Linked DNA regions of Oreochromis niloticus. The main gene of each other region encodes a partner of the protein of the gene in region 2 in a complex. Links are inferred from orthologs where the notes say so. Each region holds a gene or a part of one and is shown on either strand. Other genes may lie near its edges.

Region 1 (7,876 bases), on a different chromosome or scaffold from region 2:
TGTCTGTCGCCTGTTTACTCGTTTTATCTTTGGTAGTCTGTTGTCAGCTGTGCTTTGTATTTACTTCCCCTGCCTCGTCCTGTGATTACTGCCAGCTGTTCCTTCTGCTGGCCTCATTACCTCCGGTATTTATCATCTCAGTCTACTCGTGTCCTTTGTCCAGTTCTTCTGCACTGCCGTGTTTTGGCTTTTGTTTCGTTCTGATTTTACCTTCCTCCTCCTCTGTACTGCAAGAATTCCAGCCACTTTCCACACAACAAACCCAAAACACACTACAGTGAGCCTGAGGCCTCACACACTCAGAACTTCAGGTTTTTACTGCAACCCCCCAAACAGGGACCAACCTGAGGTCCATGTGTGAGTGTCTGCTCGACTGATAAAGAAAAAAAAAACTTCACTACGATACCCACAACCCCCTGCAGGCAGCTGATCCAGAGATAAAAGATGAGCCTGAGGTCAGAGTTCAAAGGCTGGCTCAAACTGTTGTGCTTCAAAGACAGCATTCAAAATGAAACTTTATAAACAACAAACTAAAGAACATATTCTGTCACCCCTAAAATCTGATTGAGCCAATCAGATTTTTTCTTTAGTTTGTTGTTTATAAAGTTTGAAGATCACCTGAAACTTTGAGAACTTTGAGAAATCAGCAGGAAAAGCTCAGGCTGTAAGCAACGAGTCAGGAAGCGCTGCTCAAGGCTCTCTGAGCTCTCCCAGAGGAGCAAGCCTTCAATATTTATTTTGTTATCGTTAGCGTGAGTCTGACACTCACTGACCTACGAACTACTGCAGGTAATGTACCCTGCAGTACTGGAGTAGATGTATTAAAGTACTTTGCAGGTGGGTGTGAGGTGACGGGCGTGTCGTGACAGCGCTGAAAGAGGAGCCGGATAAGTCTGAGATTCCTGATTATTATTAGAGACAAGCCGGGAGTCCAGCCGGTGCATGAGGCGAGAAATGATCCGTTTAGGACAGAAACACTTGCATGTGTGCGACACCACCATAACTCCGTACTGACAAACTTGTTGCCATGACGATCAGTCAGTGAGAAAAAGCTGCAGAATTTCACATGAACAGAGGCTCAGTTATGAAACATGATTATAATTTTACCTGCTCTGATGGTTTGTTGGTTAAACACATTCACGTCTGACTACATGACACGTTCAGGGACTCAAAGCTTTCAATGTTCTCACCTCCTCGTAGGTCCACACAGCACTGGCCAGCTCCACACAGAAGATCACCAACAGACTGCCGAAGTACTGAAACACAGGCGGAGACGAGTTTAGTCTGATAATCAACCTAAAACCTTTCTGTCAGAAAGCCGTGAAGCCGACGTCGTCCCCTCCCTCAGTGACAGCCCCGAGGCGTCTGCAGCTCTAAACTCTGAGCAGCACAGTAATGTGTGATGTCTGAAGCTGGTTTTATCTCCTTGTCCACCTGAATAACCTACTCACTCACAAACATGAGTGACATCTACTGTTATGTAATCTCACAACTAACTGAGGTGTGTGTGTTGGAACTGGCTGAGCGGGTTCCCATCATGCCCTGGGGTAGTCCCTGTAGCAGACTGAAGCTCCTCTCAGCAGCTCATCTTTCGGAGACAATCTTATCACCTGTTGGGAACAATGGGGCACCCAACACCTGGCCCTGCCCAATCAGAGCACAGCAAACAGGTGGTGTAGTTCAAACACACAGTTGGGTGGACAGTGTGACCTCTGTGAGCTCTACCTGAGAGTCCAGAGTGGGCTGTGTGTGACATCATACACCTGCACACCTGCTGACAGTGGTGGACTCTGGACTGAGCTCAATCCTCCCATATGCAGGTGTGTGAGGCGGGTGGAGCGTGTGGAGGTAGAGGCTGACCTCTTCACCTTGTTTAGCAGCTGGTGAGCAGATGATGCTCTGATAGGCTGCAGCAGAACCAATTGATAAGAGCTCAGTCTACCTGAGGAGTGTGTCATTATGATGAAGCTTAGGTGAGTCTGCCTCAGTGCTCATAGGGCTTCAGGTTCAGAGACATCAGCTCCAGGTTTCTGATGTTCCCACTTCACTGTGTACGCAAAATGCCAACCCCATCACAGGAAGGCGGGAGCCGCGGGCGCTTGTGTCATGACATCAGTCTCAGTGTAGACCTGTCACAGCTAACACACTGATCAACAGTCATGCAAACATACAGGTAACACACTGACCAACAGTCAGAGCAGCTAACAATGTTTCCTCTGCTGGCTGATTCACAACAGAGACTTCATCTGTGCTTTTCCCAATGTGTCAGACCACTCAGAGACTGTTTCCTGCTCAATGCCAGCTGAATCCAGGACGTGGACTTCCTGCTTCTGATTGTAAAATCTGAGATAAATGTCGTCTTTGGTTAAAGTAAAGATCCTGTCTGAAGTGTCTGATGTGAGCATTCGTACCCAGGAGAGCAGCAGCAGGTCACACCTGAGCGTGCCGCAGTACCCCACCATTGCCACGATGATGAGAAAGCAGCACACGGCAACAATGACGGGGTGAACAGCTGGAGAGTACGTGAGGACGGCAGCTTCCTCCAACCTGCATATACACACACACACATGAATTAGCCTCCATGCTCTGAGCTTCACAAAAGCAGCTGTTTAGTTCACATCTGGATCATCTATCAGAGACAAGGTGTGTCAGATAAAGCTGATTAAAACTTTCAGGTGCTGTCACCTGGTTGGCTCTCATACCTGAGCTGCAAGCCCGGCCAGACTCACCTGGTGTGGGCCGTCAGGGTGAGAACGGTGTTGAGAGAGTCACGGATCCACGCCGCCACTCCCAGCACACATGCTGACATCAGCTGGACACACAGAAATAAACACATGGATATGTTTCTGCTGCCTATAATAACATCTGAGAATGTGAAGCAGGCAGCGAGGAACACCCGGCCTGCTTCACCCCAGCACTGCCTGTCCCTGTACACAGAACTACCACTAAACAGTACTCTCTACACAGAATTACCACTAAACACAGTATTCTGTACACAGAATTACCACTAAACACAGTACTATGTACACAGAATTACCACTAAACACAGCACTCTGTACACAGAACTACCACTAAACACAGTACTCCAGACAAAGAACTACTACTAGACACACAGTACTTTATGCACAGAACTGCCACTAAACACAGTACCTACAGTTACTACAGTAAAATACTGCATTGTTTGACTGCTTTAGTATAATGACTCTAACACACTGATCATTAAAGGGCAATTACACTCTTGTAGTCGTGCGCGTGCCCGCTCCTCTCACCCAGAACAGCAGGTTGAGCGCGTACAGCAGGCAGCGCAGACACCTCACTGCGTCCTCGCGAGCCATCCCGACCGGAGCTCCTCCGCGTGCCGCTCATCTGAGCCCGGGGCACCATGGCAACATGCTCGCTGCACTCACACAGCACGGAGCGCTCAGGAACTGCGCGTGCTCCGTGCGTGAAACCCGCATTCCGTCCCCGCGCGCCCTGGCCCGCTCGGTGACCAGCAGCAGGTGGTCCTCACTGCGCACGCTCCGAACCGGTCACCGCTGTCCGCACACCTCCGCACAGATCCAGACTGTCACAAAATACACGGACACACACACACACACACACACACACACAGAGCTCCGGCAGTCTGCTGCGTAACAATCCGAACCGTCCGCTCCTCTGCTCCTCCTGCTGCTCCTTCTTCACTAATTAAAGCAGCAGCAGCTCCGCCTCCTCCCTCACAGCGTCCGGGGGGAGGACAGAGGAATGTGTCCGCCTCCAGCCGCACAGCCGTGGGGTCAGCAGGCCGAGATTGAGAGGATGAAGCTGCAGGAAACACACAGCGCTTGGAGTGTTTGTCCACATAGTTCTGGTCATAAACTCTTTGCAGCAGCACTTTTTGTCCCGAAATTATGTGGACACTTATTTTAGGCTACCTTGTAATTATTTTCCACATACTTTCTGACTATTTGCACATATATTATTGTGTTACACACGGGACTGCCGGACACTGAACATAAAGACGTAGAAAGAAAAATGTATGACAAAAGTATGTGGACATAAACTTCCACGGAAATACAGTAAGACATATCGTTTGTGTCTACATAATTTTGGCCATTTAGGCTGCCTGTTTGTTTTTCTGCTCACACTTGTGATCAAAATTATGTGAATGCATGTGATTGGCTATCTAAATGGTAAATGGATGGTTCTTATAACACTAATCTAAAACAATATATATACCCAAAAGTATATAGACTAACATGTACACTCATTTTAAAGTTATTAAAATCAATGATAAGAACTTATAATTAATATATGATCATTAAAATAGAATCGCTGCTCGGTTCATGAATAATTATAGTCACATGAAGTGGGATATGTTTAATTAACAGCCGAACATGTGTGAAAACACAAGCGAATGTGGACAGAAGTTACCATACAGCTTATACTGTTTGTCCACATACTTTAAATGTGTTAAATTAGTACCACAACGCACAAATCTAATATTTAATACATGAACAAACATATCTGAACAGAAATGGTGGTGAGATGGATATATTCTTACTATCTCTTTAGTTGTTTCTGTCCACATATTTTTGTAGAAAAGTAAATATAATTTTCAGCTGGTCATTAATGCAATTTTTCAGGTAAAAAAATGTCCCAAAGCTTTGTGTAAATGTGCAGTCGAAATGAAATATTTTACAAGGCTTGAGAAAAACAACCCTCTTGCTTTTTATTTGCAAATAAATAAATAAATAAAGGATTACTGTACTGCCTAAAAGACGTAAATAAATGTAAATACAAATACAATTCCCATGATGCATCTGTCCTGTCAACGCCTGCCTGTATTTGAACCAATCAGAGCGCAGGCAGACGTTTGCGTCAGCATCCATGACCTCCTTTTTTCTGGGTATTTTTTCTGGGCAGACGTTGGCAGGCGGCGCCATATTGAAAGCAGAGAATTGTCGGAGAAAACGGCTGAAAGCTTAAATTAAACACGATGCTGTACCTGGAGGACTACCTGGAGAGTGAGTATGGGACTGCAACGAAGCGGCGGCGGTGTGACAGGGCTCTGCTGCGCGTTAAATATGTGTTATTTACCGGCTAGGTCGGCTCCGGCAGTTAGCCTAGCCGTGCTAGCAGGTAACCGCCTTTTCTTCTCCTGGCAGTGATCGAGCAGCTACCCATGGATCTCCGCGACAGGTTTACGGAAATGAGGGAGATGGACCTGCAGGTTCAGAGTACGTACAACCCCGCCGCCAACGGCGCCACACACCGGCCACACCACACCGGGGACACGCGTGCTGCGGAATGCACACATAGTGGCAGCCCTGCTGGGACTGTCCAAGCAACAGAGTCGCGTCCCGGCGCCGATGAACGCCCGAGCTGCGCTTACTTAATTAGCACATGTTAGCACAGGCGGCTAACGGGCTGAAACCCAGTAGATACCAGCATGAGACTGCAGCACAGCATCCACCTGCAGGGTCACATTCACCTACCTACAGGGACCCCTCCCCTTTAACACTGCCGATCCGAAAGTTCACATTCATGCACATGAAAAGTAAAGTTGCTAATAAAGCAACTTTAAAATGATTATCGCTGTTAGACGCTCACATGAGGTCCTGATCATCATTTTAACACTTTATAAATAAAAAAAATAATCAGTTATATTTGGTCTAAACTGAGATTATTTAACAGGATTTCTGTAAATATTTGGGGGGGGGTTAAGTTTAAATTTAAAAAAAAAAAGGTTTTAGTAAAATATGTTTTGGTAAATTAAGTTGCTGAACAAAATTAATTTTGAACTGAAATTTAAAATGAAGGATTATTAAAATAGTAATCATTTCCTCTAAAATATTTTGTTTCAATCACTGACACAAATTTAATTGGACTTAGACTTAGATAAATTAAACCACTTTCTAAACGTTTGTGTGTGCAGCCAGAAAAAAAAGAACAATGTTGTAACAGTGTTATAAACGCGACTCTGAAAGGTGTAATAATAAATCAGTGTTAGGGATACTCTGAATGAGCCTGTGCTGGGCGCTAGTGCTGTGTGATACTGCAGATTTCAGTATTGATCCAATACCAAATAAATACAGGTCCAGTATTGCTGGACACTTTGCTGTCATTTTTCTATCTGTTTAAACCTCAGGATATTAACCCTTTAAGACCTACCATAAAACCAAGTCTGCCAGAGCTTATCTTCATATTTTTAGATGCTGTAGTGCCATTTTTTGTGAGTATTTCAAGTTGCTATAGTAACTACATGAATTGCAAAAAAGTGCAATAAACTACAAAAGAATGTACAATTGTTTTTGTTTTTTTGTTGTTGTTTTTTTACACATATTTCTAGTTAGAGAAATTTCAGGGGTATATCCCTCAAAACTGTAAATGCAAAAAAGTTGCACAAAATAGTTTCCAACCACAGGAAATTTATTTTGAGTGTATTCATAGTTTTATTTTTGACATACACAAATTTTTATATACTGTAGGAAAAACAAAAGTAAATATTGTAATGCAAATTTGCAAAAAACAGCATGTGCATCAACATAAACTATTTCCAGCAGTGTAATTTGAGTTCTAAGCATCCCAGAAACTGTACAGAAAGCCATAAACATGAATTTTAAAACCACCAGCATATCTTTGTAAATGCCCTATAGGAAAAAAAAACTACATTTTCCGCGAAGATGATGCCACTTCTGGTTTCAGGTAGGTAATGGCGGATGCGCTCATCGTAATTAGCAAAGCGTGTTTCTGGAATACTATGGTTTTGTTGCTGCAAATGCTTTTTACACAATTTTTTTCATTTTCATTAGAGCATAATTCTGCTCTTATATTAGATCCTGGTGGTTTTCAGGTTATTTATTGGTCTTTAGGATCAGCAGACTGAGCTGTGTGAAGTTGTCAGCCTCGGTCCGTGGGCGTTTTCAGTTGGTCTTAAAAATGCACAGACTCTATATAACTTTAAAGTGATGATGAAACCACTTCAGTTTTAATCACATTGGTTCAGAGACACAGATCTGTGACATAACAGGAGCACTCACTGAGTGAGAGCTGGAGAAATAAAGTTAAAATCAAACTTTATTTATACTGCACCATTGAAGCAGGTCAGGTCAGAGAGCATATCCAATCAGTAATCAACAAAATCTGACAAATATTATCCACACATGGCACACTCACTGCTGCAGGTTTCAGCTGGCAGGAAACACTCAGAAACAAATCACATGAGGGAGTGTGGGCCAGGTGAGTCCTCAGCTCTGATTTCATTACAGCTACAGTCCAAAGGTGATCTCCAGGCTCAGAATAAGTCTGCAGTTCACCAGAGAGGAAACACCTGAGGGAGGGCCGCACTCAGACTTTACACACGTGATGTTAAAATGCTGAGTGCTGCATTTTCTCACGTTGTTTCCTGTTTGTTCCTTCAGATGCCACGGATCAGCTGGAGCAGAAGGTCATTGAGTTCTTTGTAAACGCCAAGAAGAACAAACCAGAGTGGAGGGAGGAGCAGATGGAGGTCATTAAAAAGGTCAGAGGTGGCGGATTCTTCTTGTTTCTGTGCGTGTGTGTGTGGATCTTGGGTTAAACCTGCGTGTGTTCTTAGGATTACTACAAAGCTCTGGAAGATGCAGATGAGAAAGTCCAGCTGGCCAATCAGATCTATGACCTGGTGAGTAAAGGTTTCCTTCAGGTGTCACTCAGGTGATCACAGAATGGTAAAGGTGCACATTTAGGCTTAAACGGCTTTAACATGTAGAAATCTGAGGAACCCTCAGTTATTCCACACAGCCGCCACTAGATGGCAGAAAGAGCCTTGAAGAGCCACTAAAAAACCACAAGGAGTTACTTATCCTGCAGTCTGAGAGCATTGTCACTATCACTGAATGATACCAGCTAAACT
Region 2 (7,454 bases):
AAATATGAGCCCCATCATGATTGCTTTTTCACAGCCTACCTGCTTTCAGTTTGGCCTGGTTCTGTTGACTTGCTTGGTACTGGGCATAAGCTGCCAACTTTGCCATGAGAGGCTGTTTCTGTAAGACTTTGGCCTTTTTTGTTGGTGGTTTGCCCTTGTAAAAATCAAAGCAGATGTTAATATTTACACAATACAAAATTATGAAACTACTATACTTTTTTATCAAAGATAATGAATTTACCTGGAGTCTTGCCAAGATGCTAGCTTTTTTAGAATTTGAGGAATAACTCCTAGAACAGGACACACTGCAGAAACGCTTGGTTTTGGAGTAAAAAGCATCTCGTACACCGACCATCCCACACATCTCACAGGTGGCTGTGAAAACAAACCGAAATACATCAGCAGTCTACAAATGGTAAATGGCATTTATAGTTATCTCCATAAGTATTTGGAAATTGACACAATTGCAATTTTTGCTCTGTACGTGGTAAATGGACTGGTTTTTATATAGCGCCTTTCTACTCTGAATACTAAAAGCTCTTTATAAATCTTTCCTCATTCACCCATTCACATCCAATCGCACAAGTACTTTTTTCTAGGCACTTTCTATGCAAGTTCTTCCTACCCAACATTCATACACATTCATTGTCCGGTGGATGCATCGGAGAACAACTTGGGGTTATTATCTTGGCCAAGGATATTTGGCATGTAGAATGGAGCAGAAGGGGACCGAGCCACCCCATCACTACAGTGGATTTTAAATTAACCAAATGTGATTTAAATGAAAATTTTTAGATTTAATTCAAAGGGTATACCAAAAGTAATGCATTAACTGTTTAGGTAATTCAATATCTTGGCCAAGGATATTTGCACATATGAACGTTGAGGAGCTGAGGCTCAAACTAATAATCGTTATACTTCCTGAGCCACAGCAGCTAAACGTAAACACTATTATTGTTCACTCACAGATTGATATTTAAGCAACACACACAAAAAAAGCCTCATGTACTGACCCATTCCAGCCTTTCCATCAGGGTAGGTGTAGACTTGTCCATTGTTCTTGATGATGGGCAGACTAGCAGGGATGGAGGGTACCACCTCATCCTCACTGTCGTCTGAGCTAGAGCTGCTGGTGGACTCCTCGCTGCAGCTGTCATAGCCATCAAACATCCCGAATGAGTCTCGTCGCTTACGATCTGAACGTGGGGTACGCTCAGCCTTTACAGATGAGGACACAACAGAGAAACACTGAATGAATTCATATGGATGCTTTTAGGGGTGTCTGTAGCTCAGGAGGTTCTCCTCTCCATTTCTCCATATAATGTAACACGTTTACTTTGGCGTTGTTCAGAGAAAGCAGTGAAATTGGTCTAAGAGAAGGTAACTGTTCAGAAAAACATATTTCATTCAAGTCATTTTATTTTACTCCATTCCCTTTTGAGTTATTTTACTTTACTAAAACTTAATAAAAGAAAAATAAAGCTGCATTCTCATACTTCTATTCTTTTAAGCTATTGCACTTTATTTTAACAGCTCCTTACAAATGTCCTTGTTCTGTGGTCCTGGAGTTTAGCCACACAAACTAGCCAAACATTTGTCTTTAGTGCAGAAGGGATGCCCAGTTTTTTTATTTATTTTTTAACAGTGGCGCTCTTCAAATTAAATATACCATGGTTTTTAATATTAATAAAATTAACCTTTTCTTCAAACATATAATGGTGAAAGCACAGCAATAATAGTGCCTTAAAATAATTCTTATTACTGTTAATCTCAATCTCTGTGCGAATCAATACAAAAAAACGAAAATACTTAAAACAACTTTTGTGAGGAAGCGAGAAAGGAAATATTGCTCTAAGGCAATCTTGGGCGGTAGGAAGGGGAAGAATGGGGGAGCAGACGCAGTCTGCAATAGTTGCAAAAGAAATGGTTTGATTGCAATGGTTGATGCAAAAAATAATAATGGACCAGAAGAAAATAAAGATTCAAATCTTCTTGGTTCACATTTTTATTATTTTTTATCAATATTCTTTCCATTTTTTATGAGCATTTGTAAGATGTTTTAGACAAATGTAAACAAAAATCAACTCCCTAAGCTAAATTTTAGTATTGAAGTGAAGCTGAACTTGTTTTAGTTGAAAGATGTATTTTTACAGTTCGCCTTTCATCATTAATGCATCATTTAGATTCAGGTAGGAAAATATCAGCGAACCATATCTGAGTCAGCATGACTTTTTTCGAAACGCCCAAAAATCTCTAAATAAATGAATAAATACTACGTGAAAGTATGGAAGTCTGATCACAGGATCCGGAACAATGCGTACATGTTGTCAAAGCTAGTTTACTTCCTCTTCACAGCATCTCAGCCCAAACATTACACTACGCGCAACAGTTTAACTTAAAAAAAATAAAAAATAAAAAAAATAAATCAAGACACCCATTTCCAAAGACATCCTTTGTAAGCTACATTTTACATACATATATACTGGAAAAGTAAACTAATACCGAAACTAAAATAAGGGACGGCCTTATTACAAACACCTCCTAAAGCTAAACAGCACTAGCAGAGCTAGCTAGCAGAACCTGTTTTTCCAGGGGGGGGGTTTCAGAACAAAGCCTTTTTACGTTCGTCTATTAACGTATAGTTGCAATAGTTAGACTTGTAAGAAAACTCTACTCGTTTTTTTTTTGAGAGAGAGCGAGAGAGAGAAAAGAAAGAGCTTTAGTATTATGTGTAGATGGGTGAGCCACTAGCTGGCTATCGTAAACAGATAACAACAAAGGAGGCGTACTACCCTGAACAATCCACTGGAATCGGAGGCTCGCGGCCCAAAAATGTTTCAAACCAACTCACCAAATCCCTTGCGTTTTCCATCAGCCCTTCATATAGCTGTTCTTCCAGTTACCTGCACTTCCTAATTCAAACAAATCCCCTCACCTGGGGTATAACCTAGCTTTGAATTTTAGTCGAAATACTACCAAGCAGGATATCAACAAATTACTCTGCAGCCTCTGCGCATGAGCGACCGTAACCTACTTTCATGTGATTGGTGGATCTGCAATGGAGGTCATCGACCGATGCAGACACAAAATAATAGACTTTGCAGAGTAACTGAATGAAAGGGGCCTTCAGAACAACTACAGATTATCAGTAGGTGTAAATACAGAAACGTTACAGTAATTTCTATGGTTTTGTTTTGTTTATAACTAGCTCCTGACTTTCATTTGGAATTTTTCCATATAAAAAGAACTTCAAAATAAAATACAGTAGTACATGTGAAGTAAAATAAATATTTTATTAGGATATAGTGACATTATTACATTTTCGAAGACAATCTTTCTTGTGAAAGATTTCTACAGTAGATGCAATATATTCACATTGAACAAAATCTGAGAACCACATTCAATAACACTTTAGCTTTTAACTTCCAAAATATATTCACTTAAGCCTGATAATGGGCATAGTTTTTTTGATATACATACAAGTACAGCAAGAAACTAAACAATATTAACCACAAACCAAATGAACTTTGCTCCAGTAATTCCAATCACAGTGCTTTTCAGTAATAATACTGGCATTCTAGATTTATTCTTTTCCCTGTTCCTTGAACACAAAATTTGGCAAAGCAGAACGAAACATTAAACAAAAAACAAAGAATTATTTGCTGAAGTAACAACAACAAAGTGATAATGGCTGGAAGAACTGCTGCACACTCATCAAGTAGGTAAGGCTTCAGGAAGAGGGTTTATGTAATCAAGTTTAGGTTTAGGTTAGGCAAAGCTCTACATCATCATTAGGGCTGATGCTGAGGAGTAGATGTTGAGGACTGCTAAAGAAAAGTTCATCATTTTTAGACATAATGGTTCACACAAGAGCGTTCACTAGCAAATGTTCAGAATCAGACATCAAACTGGGAGAAGATACCTTGGTTTTTTGAATATCTTTGGTCTCACAGCAACTCGTCCTCCACAACATCATCAACACTTCCTGATATAGAGGCAGCTTCTGAGGTGCAAGAAGGAAACACTCAAGTTAACAATGACTGTAACAGCAGCTTCAACTCTTTTTGTTTATCCACCATGGTACAAAAGCTTGACAGAGTCATGGTGACACTGTCCCTTTTGTTTCACTATGTTATATTTCCTGATTTGTTGGAGATAAACTACAAATTGCACTGAATACAAGTATTCTGAGCATTAGGGTCAAGTTAATTGATCCTAACCAAAATGTATATTGTTGAGTTCATTTCTTCTTGAGACACTTTAGAAAGTTGATTTAACAGAACTGCATTCCTGTTAATTTTCCACCACATGGGGGCATACACTACCTCTCTGTAGGTTTAAGAAGTGTCCCAAGTCAAGAATCTGATCCAATGTGGACATCACTTGGATATTCTATTGTATTTAGAAACCTAGATAACATTTCTACTTCAACATACAATCCCAGTAACATAAGGGTATGAGGGTTACTTTATGATCGCTTAAACATAGTCACTGGCAAATCTCAAATTACAGTTCCATGACAGAACTCACCTGATAAACTGATACAGGAAAGACTGAGCTCTGATGATGCTCCTATTACATCATCCTGTTGGAAGAATAAAAGTGATTAGCCGCTGTTAACCAGTTCTTCAAACTTTCAGAACAGAAGTAAGGGGATTACCTAATCTCTCAGGCATAAAGATAAGTTAAAATAATAATAATAAAAAATGACAGAGTACCTTGTCGGATACAGTTGGACAGAGATTATGAAGCGCTTTGAGGCGACTTTTGTGATTTGGCGCTATATAAATAAAATTGAATTGAATTGAATTGAATGGCATCAGTCTTGCAGCCTGCAAGTCATGGCTGCAAGTCAGGGTTGTTGTCAGTCGGTGGAGGTTAACTGAGGGAGTCTGGATTCCCAAAAATTAGAATTCCACAATCATCCAAGTAGTTTTGATCTATCTCTCTGTTTAGTGTTGATTTTTCCAGGATTTTTTCCCGCTGGCTTACAGATGTCCTGTTCAAGATTAAGTATATTGATACCCTATTTTTGTCCAGGAAGAAGTAAGAGACGCTGCAAGACACAAAAAGCAGAATCAGTAACTTACCAGCATCATCTGCAGACAGCCAAGATTGCAGCCCTCTTTTTTTCCATTCAAATCTTCATGGAAGATAACGGCATAGCCCAATCGTATAAGCTCCTCTCCAACATCCACAGTCTTTTTTACATGATATGCACATGGAAAGAGGAGACAGGGTAAAGGACAAACCAAATACAGGCTTATTAAAGTCTTATTATTAAGAAATAAAATCCTATCTAACCTTGCCCTCACTGTTGTCATAGAGCTTGACACTGGGCCATGAGGAGATTTCCGAGTGAGAGTAGCTGCACAGTTTGGCCTGCAGGGGTCTCCAAGAGGCACAATATGTCAGCCTCTCAAACTGATCCAGGGCTTCCTCAGTCCAAACCCCTCCTGCATGACAGGTTGATGGAGGAAAGAGACTGAAATAATCAAGAATTCAAGAACAATGCACTGCAGAATACTAAAAGACCTCAGTATATCCTCTGCATTGATTGTGCCACCGTAACATCATCACACAGTCAGTTTTATTTATGTTCCCCAGTAAGGTAAGTCTGAGTGATATAGCGAATGTAGTTTTTTCACTTATGATGGTTAAAATGGCTCTATTGTAACCATCGAGTATAAACTGCCATGGTTATATTAAGCTGTCTGCAGTTTTTTTTCTCCCACATGCTACAAATGCATCACTAATCCCACCTCCCCAGACGTTTTTCTACCTGGCACACTGCGCTGAGCATGCGCGTTTATATACTGCCAAATAGGAAAAAATATGGTGACAGTGAGAGTCTCAGACAAGCAAGGAAATGAGACTGTAACTGAACAGGAGCCAGACAAGATAGTTCCAAAGAGAAACAGCACTGGATCAATAATCTGGCAGTGGTTTGGATTTCGCAAGGAGGATGTCGAACCTGAATGTGGAACATGGTATTTAGTACTAGTGGAAATGTGGTCACATGTCACCAAGCTTCACTCAAACCTGGAGGTGTTGACAGGCTTGTGTTGTTGGCACAGAACTTACACACCTTAAACACTGATGAGAGTGTTCTTTTTCAGGAGTACAAGTCACAATCCTTCATTATACCTTAGCTTTGTGATTATTTTACCAATATGCGTGGTGTGTTTTGTTGTTTAAAATCTAGAACAGAAAGCGCAATCATTATTTAGGTTGTTTTGAGATGCTCTAATACCTGTGACATGACTGTTGTTGTTCAGTGGTTTTTCAGGCATTGTCTGAACTTGGAACAGTTTTCCATTTTACCACTTTTTGTTGTTTAAACTTCCTAGCACATATAGAGCCGATAGTTCTGAGACACTCTGATACCTCTGACAGTTTTTGGTGAATGGCTTTTATAGACATTAACTACACTTTTGTTTCTGTAGGTCATCACATTTTACAGTTTTTATATGCTATAAGCACAGAGAACACCTTTTTAATTTCAATTGTTTCACTTTGTCTCGTGAATTCTTGCTTACTTTTTTTGTTAAAGGGTTCGTGTTGACAACAGAAAGAGACATACTGTGAGAATATTGTCATTTGTGAAAAACTTCTGTGTGCAACTGATGGTTAAAATAAAACATATTTTTTGGCTATATCACAACACATGATATATACACGACCAGACAAAAGAACGCCAAAATGGTAATGCCAGTGGACGTGATATGAATTTCACTGCACAACACAGTGTGACAGGAGGTAAGCAGTGGGCATAAAAGTGCCCTTATGTCCTCATGTACCAGCAAGTGTGTGACAAAGTGTGTATGTGTGTGTGTGTTTGGGAAAGAGTGTGTATGTAAGAGAGAGGTGTAAGAAAGAGGGAAAGGTAGTGAAAGGGTAAGAGACAGTGAGTGAATGAGCAAGTGAGAGAGAGAGAAAAAGAAAGACAGTCATTGTCAAGATGAGAGCTTTACCTTTTGGCTTCACTCCTGCTAAGCTGCACTCAATAGCTTGAAATGGTAAACTGAGGAAGTCGCTCCTGAAAATTGCAGCATATGCAAAAGCTGTTAATAAGCCATGTCCTTTTTTATCCACATTACATCCAACATTTTACAGTGTGCAGTAGCAGTATGTCACATCACAAGTTCTTCCACAGTTCGATGAAGAGGTGTACAAAGCAACACTCACAGCATGAGCTAACATAGAAATGCAGAATTTAAAATTGTGTGCTCTTTAAAATCAGTAACTCACCAGCCTCCTCTGAAGACAGCCAGTCTGTCTCATGCTGATATGACGGTCACAAACAACAAAACTGCACTTGTACCAGGTTATATTTTTCTTTGTAATACTTCAATAAAAACATTGCTGATTGTAACCCATTTCAAAGTAATGTGTTACTCTTATCATTATAATCATCATATTTGTCTGTAAAGCAGTATTATTTTGCATTATTG
Region 3 (7,575 bases), on a different chromosome or scaffold from region 2:
TTGTTCACCTGAGGGGATGAGGAGCACATGTGTGCAACTGTATGCATGTGGGGCTGAAGGACAACACAGGGATTAAAAGAAAGGTGCTAAATAGTACTTTTCCTTTTTCTTTTTTTAAGGGAAAACCAAATAGTTTCCATCTTTGTGTTTCAAATCCGCAGCAAAGTGATACATGATGACACATGGTATTAGGGCAATTGAATTCAGCTTAACTCAAAGTTTGATTGGTCCTGCAGTACCTTGTAAGCTTTGGTGACAACCCGGCTTTTCCTCCGAGGTGCGTCCTCCTCCTGGTCACTGTCCGGCTCGTCACCTTCATCGATGTCGAAGTCACTGTCAACTTCGTCCTCTGTATCTGAATGTTCTCCGTGATACTCATCATCTCCCGATTCCTGAAAGACAAAAAAAAGGAGCAATAAATAAAATCAGGAAAAGAACAACAGAACAAACCATCTGCAAGTAATCTGAGACATAACAGCAAACACCAAATTTCCCCTGCATTTTTTCTAAGTGTAGTTTTCAGGCCTATTGATTAAAATCTCACACATTTCTATCTGGCAAGTGTGTAGCAATGTATTCAAAGTCACATCCCATTAAGAGATTTAATAATAAACAGGTTATTTATTTTTATTAAAGATGTTTTCCCTCATTGTCAAAGCTACATCACAAAACTCAAGCAAAACTCAAACTCAAGCCTTAAGCCCAAACCAGGTGCAAAGATAAATAAAATAACACAAATGCATTATGCGCACTAACAATGTGAATTTTCAAATTTATTAAAACAAATGTGGGTCATTTTGAAACCCAACATCCAATGACAGGAAAGATTTAGAAAGCAGCACAAGACAAAAATATCCCTGAAAACTGCACAGATAAAGGATGCGTGTGCACACACAGGCACGTTCACAGTGCTTTATCAAAGTCCCAGCAGAGATGACTGAGGCATCTCAGGATCTGTTTGTGATTTTTTTATGAAGCCACTCTTGTCAGAACTGCCAGAGCTGCCGGTGCCAAATCCCCCTACACAAGGTGGCCCCTGAACCAGCAGCTGTTTGAAGAAAATTAGCCACACTGTAAATTGAGGAAACAAATTAGCATCTTCAAAAGCAAGCCATAACGTGTGAGATTGCTACAGCATCAAATGTTCTGACAAACAATATCACACAACTTTCTTCTCTCTTCAAGCGTGAAGCGGGAAAAGCTGGCATCATCTAGGCTCTGTTTACAGCTGGTGTTCAAACTATAATTGTAAGGCCAACTCTAAACTAAGCCATGGTCACCATTTCGAATGAACAGTGGCAAGACACACTCATTTTTAGATGTGTCCTTTTAATTCACCTCATTTCTCTTATAGTTCCAAAACTGTACTCTCAGATCTGAGAACCCCAGCCTAATGACGAGCTTTCTCCATTTATCTTTCCATTTTGTGCTGCTAATCCAGGTCCAGGTAATAGGCGCAGCAGTGTTAGTAGAGAAGCCCCAGACCTCCCTCTACCGGGTCTGCTCCAGGGCCACCTCCTGCTAATACACACTCGAAACACCTCCCCTAGGAGGCATCATAATCCAATTCTTGACCCACCCCAACCGGCTCCTTCTGATATGTAAAGTAGACGCTATACTGAAATCACTGAACTCCTCATTCTTTCTCTAAAGCCCAGACACCATTTGGAGGAAACTGATTTCTGACGCTTGCATTTGCAATCTCGTTCTTGCCCACAGCTCGTGGTCATAGCGAGGGTAGGAACACAGATCGACTGGTAAAATCGACAGCTTCGCTTTCACACTCAGCTCAGTTTTCTCTCTTGTCAAAATCCAAAATCTGATGAGATTGTTTTTCAACATCACTACGGAAATGATGGCAGGAATGGTTACTGTTAAAAATCACAATCAAACATGACTCCCCAATTACCAGTGAGAGTTAATTCACTTTTGAACCACAGCCTCAGCCTAGTAGAGAGGAAGTAAGTGCTTTCAGTGATGGACTGCTAAATTTATTTTTTACTGCTAAATTAATTAATTAATTTATTTTATTGGATTTATACAAAATCCAATAAACCCCAACAAATTAATAAAAATAAATAAATAAATACATTTAATTGATCTGCCCTAGCAAGAACCTGATAAAACTAGAATAGCTTTTAAAATTGCTGTTTACATGCACATAACCCTTTAGTCAAGAGTTTCCTGACAAACTCTTTAAAAGTATTGAAGTATAATGCAGCAGCCCTGCCATATATGATACTCTCATTAGGATTTAATATTAAAATAAACGTGTGAAGACGTGCTGGCTTGTCTAAAAGGTCTGGATCGTGTAATGCTGTGAGAGTCTGATTTATATCAGTGAGACCCACTCCCAGTCATGTCAGTCTCAAAATCGTGAGAGATGTCTCCTGTACTAGTGCATGGTCAGTAGCCTGGCAGAAACTAAATTCTTCCGTTATACTAATTTGTAAATAATATAAATGTATAAATATAAAAGTGAGTTGGCTGCTTGCTTCATTGTCAGGCAGCAAATAGACATGAACCAAATTCCCTAAAAACGAGAAGCGGTAATTCAGGTATTGCGCGCAGAACAAACTTTGTTTTTAGGCTCTAGTCATTAACACTGGAGCCGGCTAATGCTAACTCTTTATCGCGCTCTGTGTTTATCAGTTTGGTTACTCACATCGTTGAACCCTCCGTAAGTGGTCTTGTAGAACTCATCCTCTTCTTCAGCATCCAGTAGTTTGGACATACGGTTTCCCGCAGTCTTTCTGGGTTCGCGGCCAACTGCGAGGCTCATGATTGTGCTTTCCAAACTATGCTAATCAATGCTAAGCTACTTAGCTCGTTATGTTACGCTAAAAGATATAGATCGTTTTGCGGGAACCTCTTTGACCTCGTCGTTACTCAGTATATTTGCTTAATTGTATGTAGGTGCCCATATTTGTAGACCCTTTTAAATTCAAGGGATACTTTATAATTTTTCTTATAAGAGGCGATAAACACTGACAAATGAAATGTACAACTGACCGGTAGCTCTCGTTTAGCAAGCAACCATATCCGGGACTGTTGATCTACTTCCGGGCTAGCGGGCGGACTAACAGTTTATTTTAGTTGTCTGGCTTGACATGGAAAAAAATAATCAATTACGCAGTTAATGCGAAGCTTCTATTAGGAAATATTTTATTCAAAAATTGAATAACTGTTTCAGGAAACTGTGAGGTATGTGTGCGTATGCGTTGTCATGGCAACTCTGTAATTTTTGTAAGCACGATAATGACTGCACTACTCAGCAGTCTCTATCTACTGTTAAAGTCATTTATTTATTACGCATTTATTTATTATATTTGTTTATTGTTAGCCTGAACTAAAAATTATATCCACCCCTTACCGTTTTAGTTGTCAGTTATTGCAGCCAGCTCCACTCACCGGTGAAGGTAAGTTAAGTATTACGGTCTACTTGCCCACAATGTAAGTACAAAACTGCTTATGGAGATTTTTTAAACCTTGCAGTTCAAATATAGACGCATTAAACCAAGTGCTGTGTGTGCTGCTCCTCACTGGATGCTGTAGTGCTGTAAATTTTTAAGTAAGTACACCAAATTTGTGAAAGCATAATCACTTTAATTTTTCCAAGTTCTTGGATAGCAGAATTTTTAAAAAAACAACCAACTTGCATTTCACACATTTATTAAATAATAAACAGTGCAGAAATTAATCAAGAAAAAACAACATGCTACAGAAAAGAAGCTACACAATAACCTGCACATTAACCTTAATATAAGGTTAATACCCCTATTGTTAGATTCTCCATATCTCATCAGTCCAAATAGTCCACCCGAAGTCCAATGTAACTGTTATTTTAAGTTCACTCTTTAATTTATTTTATCCTCATTTCCTTATTTTTTGTGTTTCAAGATAAACATGATCATGGTTTGTCAGGTCACATTTCTTAAATGCAATTTAAAATACTATTAATTAAGATTTCATGCTCATTATTATCAGATTCAAGCAAAAAACAAATAAATTGAAGCATCTTGCAGTTTATTCACTGATACCTACTCATATCAGGTGAATATATTCTTTGCTTATTGACTCATAACAGCTTCATGGTAAACCTCCCCGTTTCCATATAGCTGCTTGTCCCTCCATTACTGCTCGACATGGCGCTTCGTGGCACATACGCGATCGTGGCTGTGTGTTTTATCTGACCTTTGCCCTTACTCCAGAAGAACATGAAAATGAAACAAACACTCACAGAGCTGAAAAATGAGAGAAACCCTATGGTTGCTGCTATCAGTAGCGTCTTTACATCAAAATGGAGTTTCTGATTTCCATTCACACCTGGAGCAGCAGATGGAAAGGCAGACCAACCTTTAAGACGAAATGGTTTCTTAGAAGATGATGGAAAGGTTTGGACATGAAGGCTAACGGGCAGGCTGTCGTTTCCCGCTGCGTTTGATGCCACGCAGAGATACTTGCCACTGTCTTGAGGCTGAGCATAGCGAACCTCCAGCGAGCCATTGGACAGAGCTCGTACTCTGCCGATGGGTGATAAAGATCTTAGCTGTGGGTTTAGCCATCTGACAGATGGCAGAGGGTCACCTTCGGCACTGCAGTGAAACACCACTGTGTGTCCCTGATCTACTTTCATCACCTGAGCTTTGCGGTTCAGAATTCGAGGTGGCCGACAGGTGAGCAAATCCGGCAGCTCAGCCTCAGGGAAATCCAGAAAATTCCAGCCCTGCAGCTGGACTGAGGTAATGCAAGTTGGCGGACTTTCACCAAAGTCCATGTAGAGTCGCCTTTGCACCACCCAAAGCAAACGGCAGTCACATGCCAGTGGGTTGTTATCAAGCCCCAGAGTTCTTAGGGTGTCCACTGAATAAAAAGCTCCAACCTCAAGTGTGGTAAGATGGTTTCTGGATGCATTCAGCAATCTGAAGTGGGCCAAACCCTTGAATGCTCCGATTTCAATCCTAAGCAGCGATCCCCCAACAAGATGTAACTCTTGGAGCCGGAGCAAGTCTCCAAGAAGGTTTGCATGAATGTAGGTGATGGGGTTAAAAGAAAGGTCAAGGTATACGAGATATACAAGGTGATGTAAAGGGATGTAGGGAAAGGCACTTAGGTTGCCATGTTTAATGGTTAGTGATGTGAGGTTTAAGCCAAAGAGACTGTTTCCTGACAGACTCTCCAGCCAGGGGCAATGAGAAATGACAAGTTCCTTTAGGTGGACTAGGTGGCGGAAAGAGTAGTTTGGCAGCGTAGTGAGGCCCAGTCGGTGAAAACTAAGGCTTCTCAGCACGCTAAGTTGTGTGAGCGCCTCTGCTGGCATAGCAGTTAGGTTGCAGCCATCAAGGTGCAGCTCCTGCAGACTGGTTAGTCCTGTAAAAGCTTGATGAGAGACATAAACCAAGTCATTATCTGCAGCTTTCATGAACCGCAGGGCGTTTAATTCACTGAAAGTAAAGTCGAGGAAAACAAGAAGCTGATTGCTGCTTACGTCCAGTAACTGGAGGTTTGTTAAGCCAGCAAACGCTCCCACTGGGATAATCTTCAGATGATTGCGACAAAGGCGCAGAGTTCTCAGACTCTGCAAGCCAAGAAAGGCTTCCACTTCAATTATTACCAAAAGATTGTCACTTAAATCCAAGTCCGACAGCTGTGTCAGCGTGTGGAACTGCTGACGCACCAAAGTCTTGAGTGTGTTTTGGGTTAAGTTTAGCAGCCTGGCTTCCTGTGAGAGACCATCAGGAACTCTGGTAAGTTGGCCACCAGAGCAGTTCACTTCCAGCGCCGTAGCGTTACAGTGGCAGGATGGCGGACACAGCCAACGCGTCTCAGATGTCAAAGCCACCCCTGCTGCCAGCAGGTAGAGAGCTCCCCAGCAAAGCCGTTGGTGGACGGCGCTCCTCTCGAACATCTGGTGACCTGTGTGTACGAGTGAGGGGATAGATAAAGTGAATCACAGGTGAAAGGAGTCATGGGTCTTTCTGTATACATTTTTTTAATCTTAAATTATTATTTTTGTATCACCACTGCCAGTTAGGAATAGAGAAAAGAAGAATTGGATGTCAACTTGTCACATGGATGGTGGCAGAGATCTCTTGATTGGGTTAAATCCACTTTATCTTATGCCAGTCTGACTTTAATTCAGTTTAAACTCTACATAGAATACACTTTAATTTACAAAAACCTGTTTAACACAAGCGATGAATGTGGCAGATGTTCATTTGATCCTCGTTCTTTGATTTACTCCCTAAAACTCTCAAACTCCTCCTTTGAGCTCTATGTGCCAGAAGAATTTACATCAACAGGGAAAGTATTAAAGTGCCTCACTTCAGTGGAAGGAGACAAAGCTTCCCCACTCTCATAATTCCATGGCTAAAAGAAATAATGTTGTTCCTACACAACATTAAGTATAGTGTCGGGCGGGCTCCAACAGTTTTTGTGTTTTTGTTGTGTGTGTGTGTGGTTTTTGTTGTTTTTTTTTAATAAAACTTGGTATTCAGCTCTTTCGTTGCTCATCTCCATTCCAGCTCCCTCTCTAGAAGATTAACTAAATGGCTCTAATTAGGATAAACAGCAAATGTGACTATTTGATTCAGTCACGATGCTGAAAGAAGCCACTTATCCTCAGTTATGTGGCAATATGGTTGCCAAGCACTTGGCACGATACGTACGTCTTCTTTTCTTTCTATTTATTAATTTGCTTGTCTAAGCGTTTTAGACACCACCACCCCCCCACACACCCCCAAATATGAAGAGAACACAATTAATACGATTTGTGGTCTTCTATGGGAAAAATTATCACTCCTGCATGATCATGCATTTTGACTAGATAAGCCAATAAAGATGAATGTGAAAAAAATAGATTTATAATTTTAAATCCAAGCCATAATAACATTACACAAAGACCTTTAATGTATATTGAAAAAGAACAATTTATTACACGTGGAAAAAGTTTGTTCGCTCGTAACTAAACCCACTAGTTAATAATGTGATCCTTTTGTTCTTGACAAACAGGAGGTGTATATGGAAACAGCTCGTACCCCTGCAGACTTGTAAGGTGATATTTTGTCGTTTATTTCACACAAGAGTTAAGGAAAAAAAAAACCTTATAGGACCTCAGGTGTTCTGATAGAGTTTCCTTTATTTGTAGTCCTGGAAATATTGAGAAATGTGCTTTTGACTGACTTTAAGTGTTAATAATTTCAGATCATATAATACCTTTCATTCATCAGTTTCATAATTTTTCTCCTTTATCCTCACTGATGTGACATTTAGGCCAGATTCACATCTGAAGTACTTTCCAAAATCATCCGTCTGAAACCTCGACACCTGAGCGATTCACTGAGGGAGGCTGGGAGTTGAAAATCTGAGCTCATTATTTTGTTACAGTTCTCAAAGCTCAGCGACAAACCTCCACACTGTGGATTAGTTTAAAAAACACATTCCCCTCTAATGTAAACAACCAACGACAAAATAAAGATATTAAATTAAGATTTTAACTTCTCGGTGAATTGATATTGCAGTTCATTCAACAGAATCCATCTCCTCTGTCTGAGATTATCGCTTCACCGCTTCTCC

Evidence for each region.
Region 1: mbtd1 (region 2) and ing3 share a complex: the UniProt entries of both Homo sapiens proteins name them as parts of the nuA4 histone acetyltransferase complex. The link is inferred for Oreochromis niloticus from reciprocal best matches to the Homo sapiens genes MBTD1 and ING3.
Region 3: mbtd1 (region 2) and vps72a share a complex: the UniProt entries of both Homo sapiens proteins name them as parts of the nuA4 histone acetyltransferase complex. The link is inferred for Oreochromis niloticus from reciprocal best matches to the Homo sapiens genes MBTD1 and VPS72.

The regions. Positions count from the first base shown.
Region 1 is NC_031981.2:22,999,855-23,007,730, forward strand, and holds the start of ing3 (inhibitor of growth protein 3), read left to right. Parts: upstream 1-4,846; 5' UTR 4,847-4,978; coding exon 4,979-5,006; intron 5,007-5,147; coding exon 5,148-5,219; intron 5,220-7,403; coding exon 7,404-7,504; intron 7,505-7,579; coding exon 7,580-7,645; intron 7,646-7,876. Other genes in the region: tspan12 (tetraspanin-12), read right to left, coding at 1,191-1,256, 2,412-2,547, 2,730-2,812, 3,235-3,384. UniProt on the Homo sapiens protein: Component of the NuA4 histone acetyltransferase (HAT) complex which is involved in transcriptional activation of select genes principally by acetylation of nucleosomal histones H4 and H2A.
Region 2 is NC_031973.2:29,982,597-29,990,050, reverse strand, and holds the start of mbtd1 (MBT domain-containing protein 1), read right to left. Parts: upstream 3,034-7,454; 5' UTR 2,873-3,033; coding exon 2,852-2,872; intron 1,219-2,851; coding exon 1,014-1,218; intron 376-1,013; coding exon 242-375; intron 155-241; coding exon 40-154; intron 1-39. Other genes in the region: tdrkh (tudor and KH domain-containing protein), read right to left, coding at 3,948-4,003, 4,531-4,585, 5,091-5,201, 5,305-5,456, 6,975-7,039. UniProt on the Homo sapiens protein: Chromatin reader component of the NuA4 histone acetyltransferase complex, a multiprotein complex involved in transcriptional activation of select genes principally by acetylation of nucleosomal histones H4 and H2A.
Region 3 is NC_031985.2:19,712,388-19,719,962, forward strand, and holds the start of vps72a (vacuolar protein sorting 72 homolog a), read right to left. Parts: upstream 3,066-7,575; 5' UTR 2,783-3,065; coding exon 2,666-2,782; intron 393-2,665; coding exon 240-392; intron 1-239. Other genes in the region: leucine-rich repeat and immunoglobulin-like domain-containing nogo receptor-interacting protein 1, read right to left, coding at 4,079-5,908. UniProt on the Homo sapiens protein: Deposition-and-exchange histone chaperone specific for H2AZ1, specifically chaperones H2AZ1 and deposits it into nucleosomes.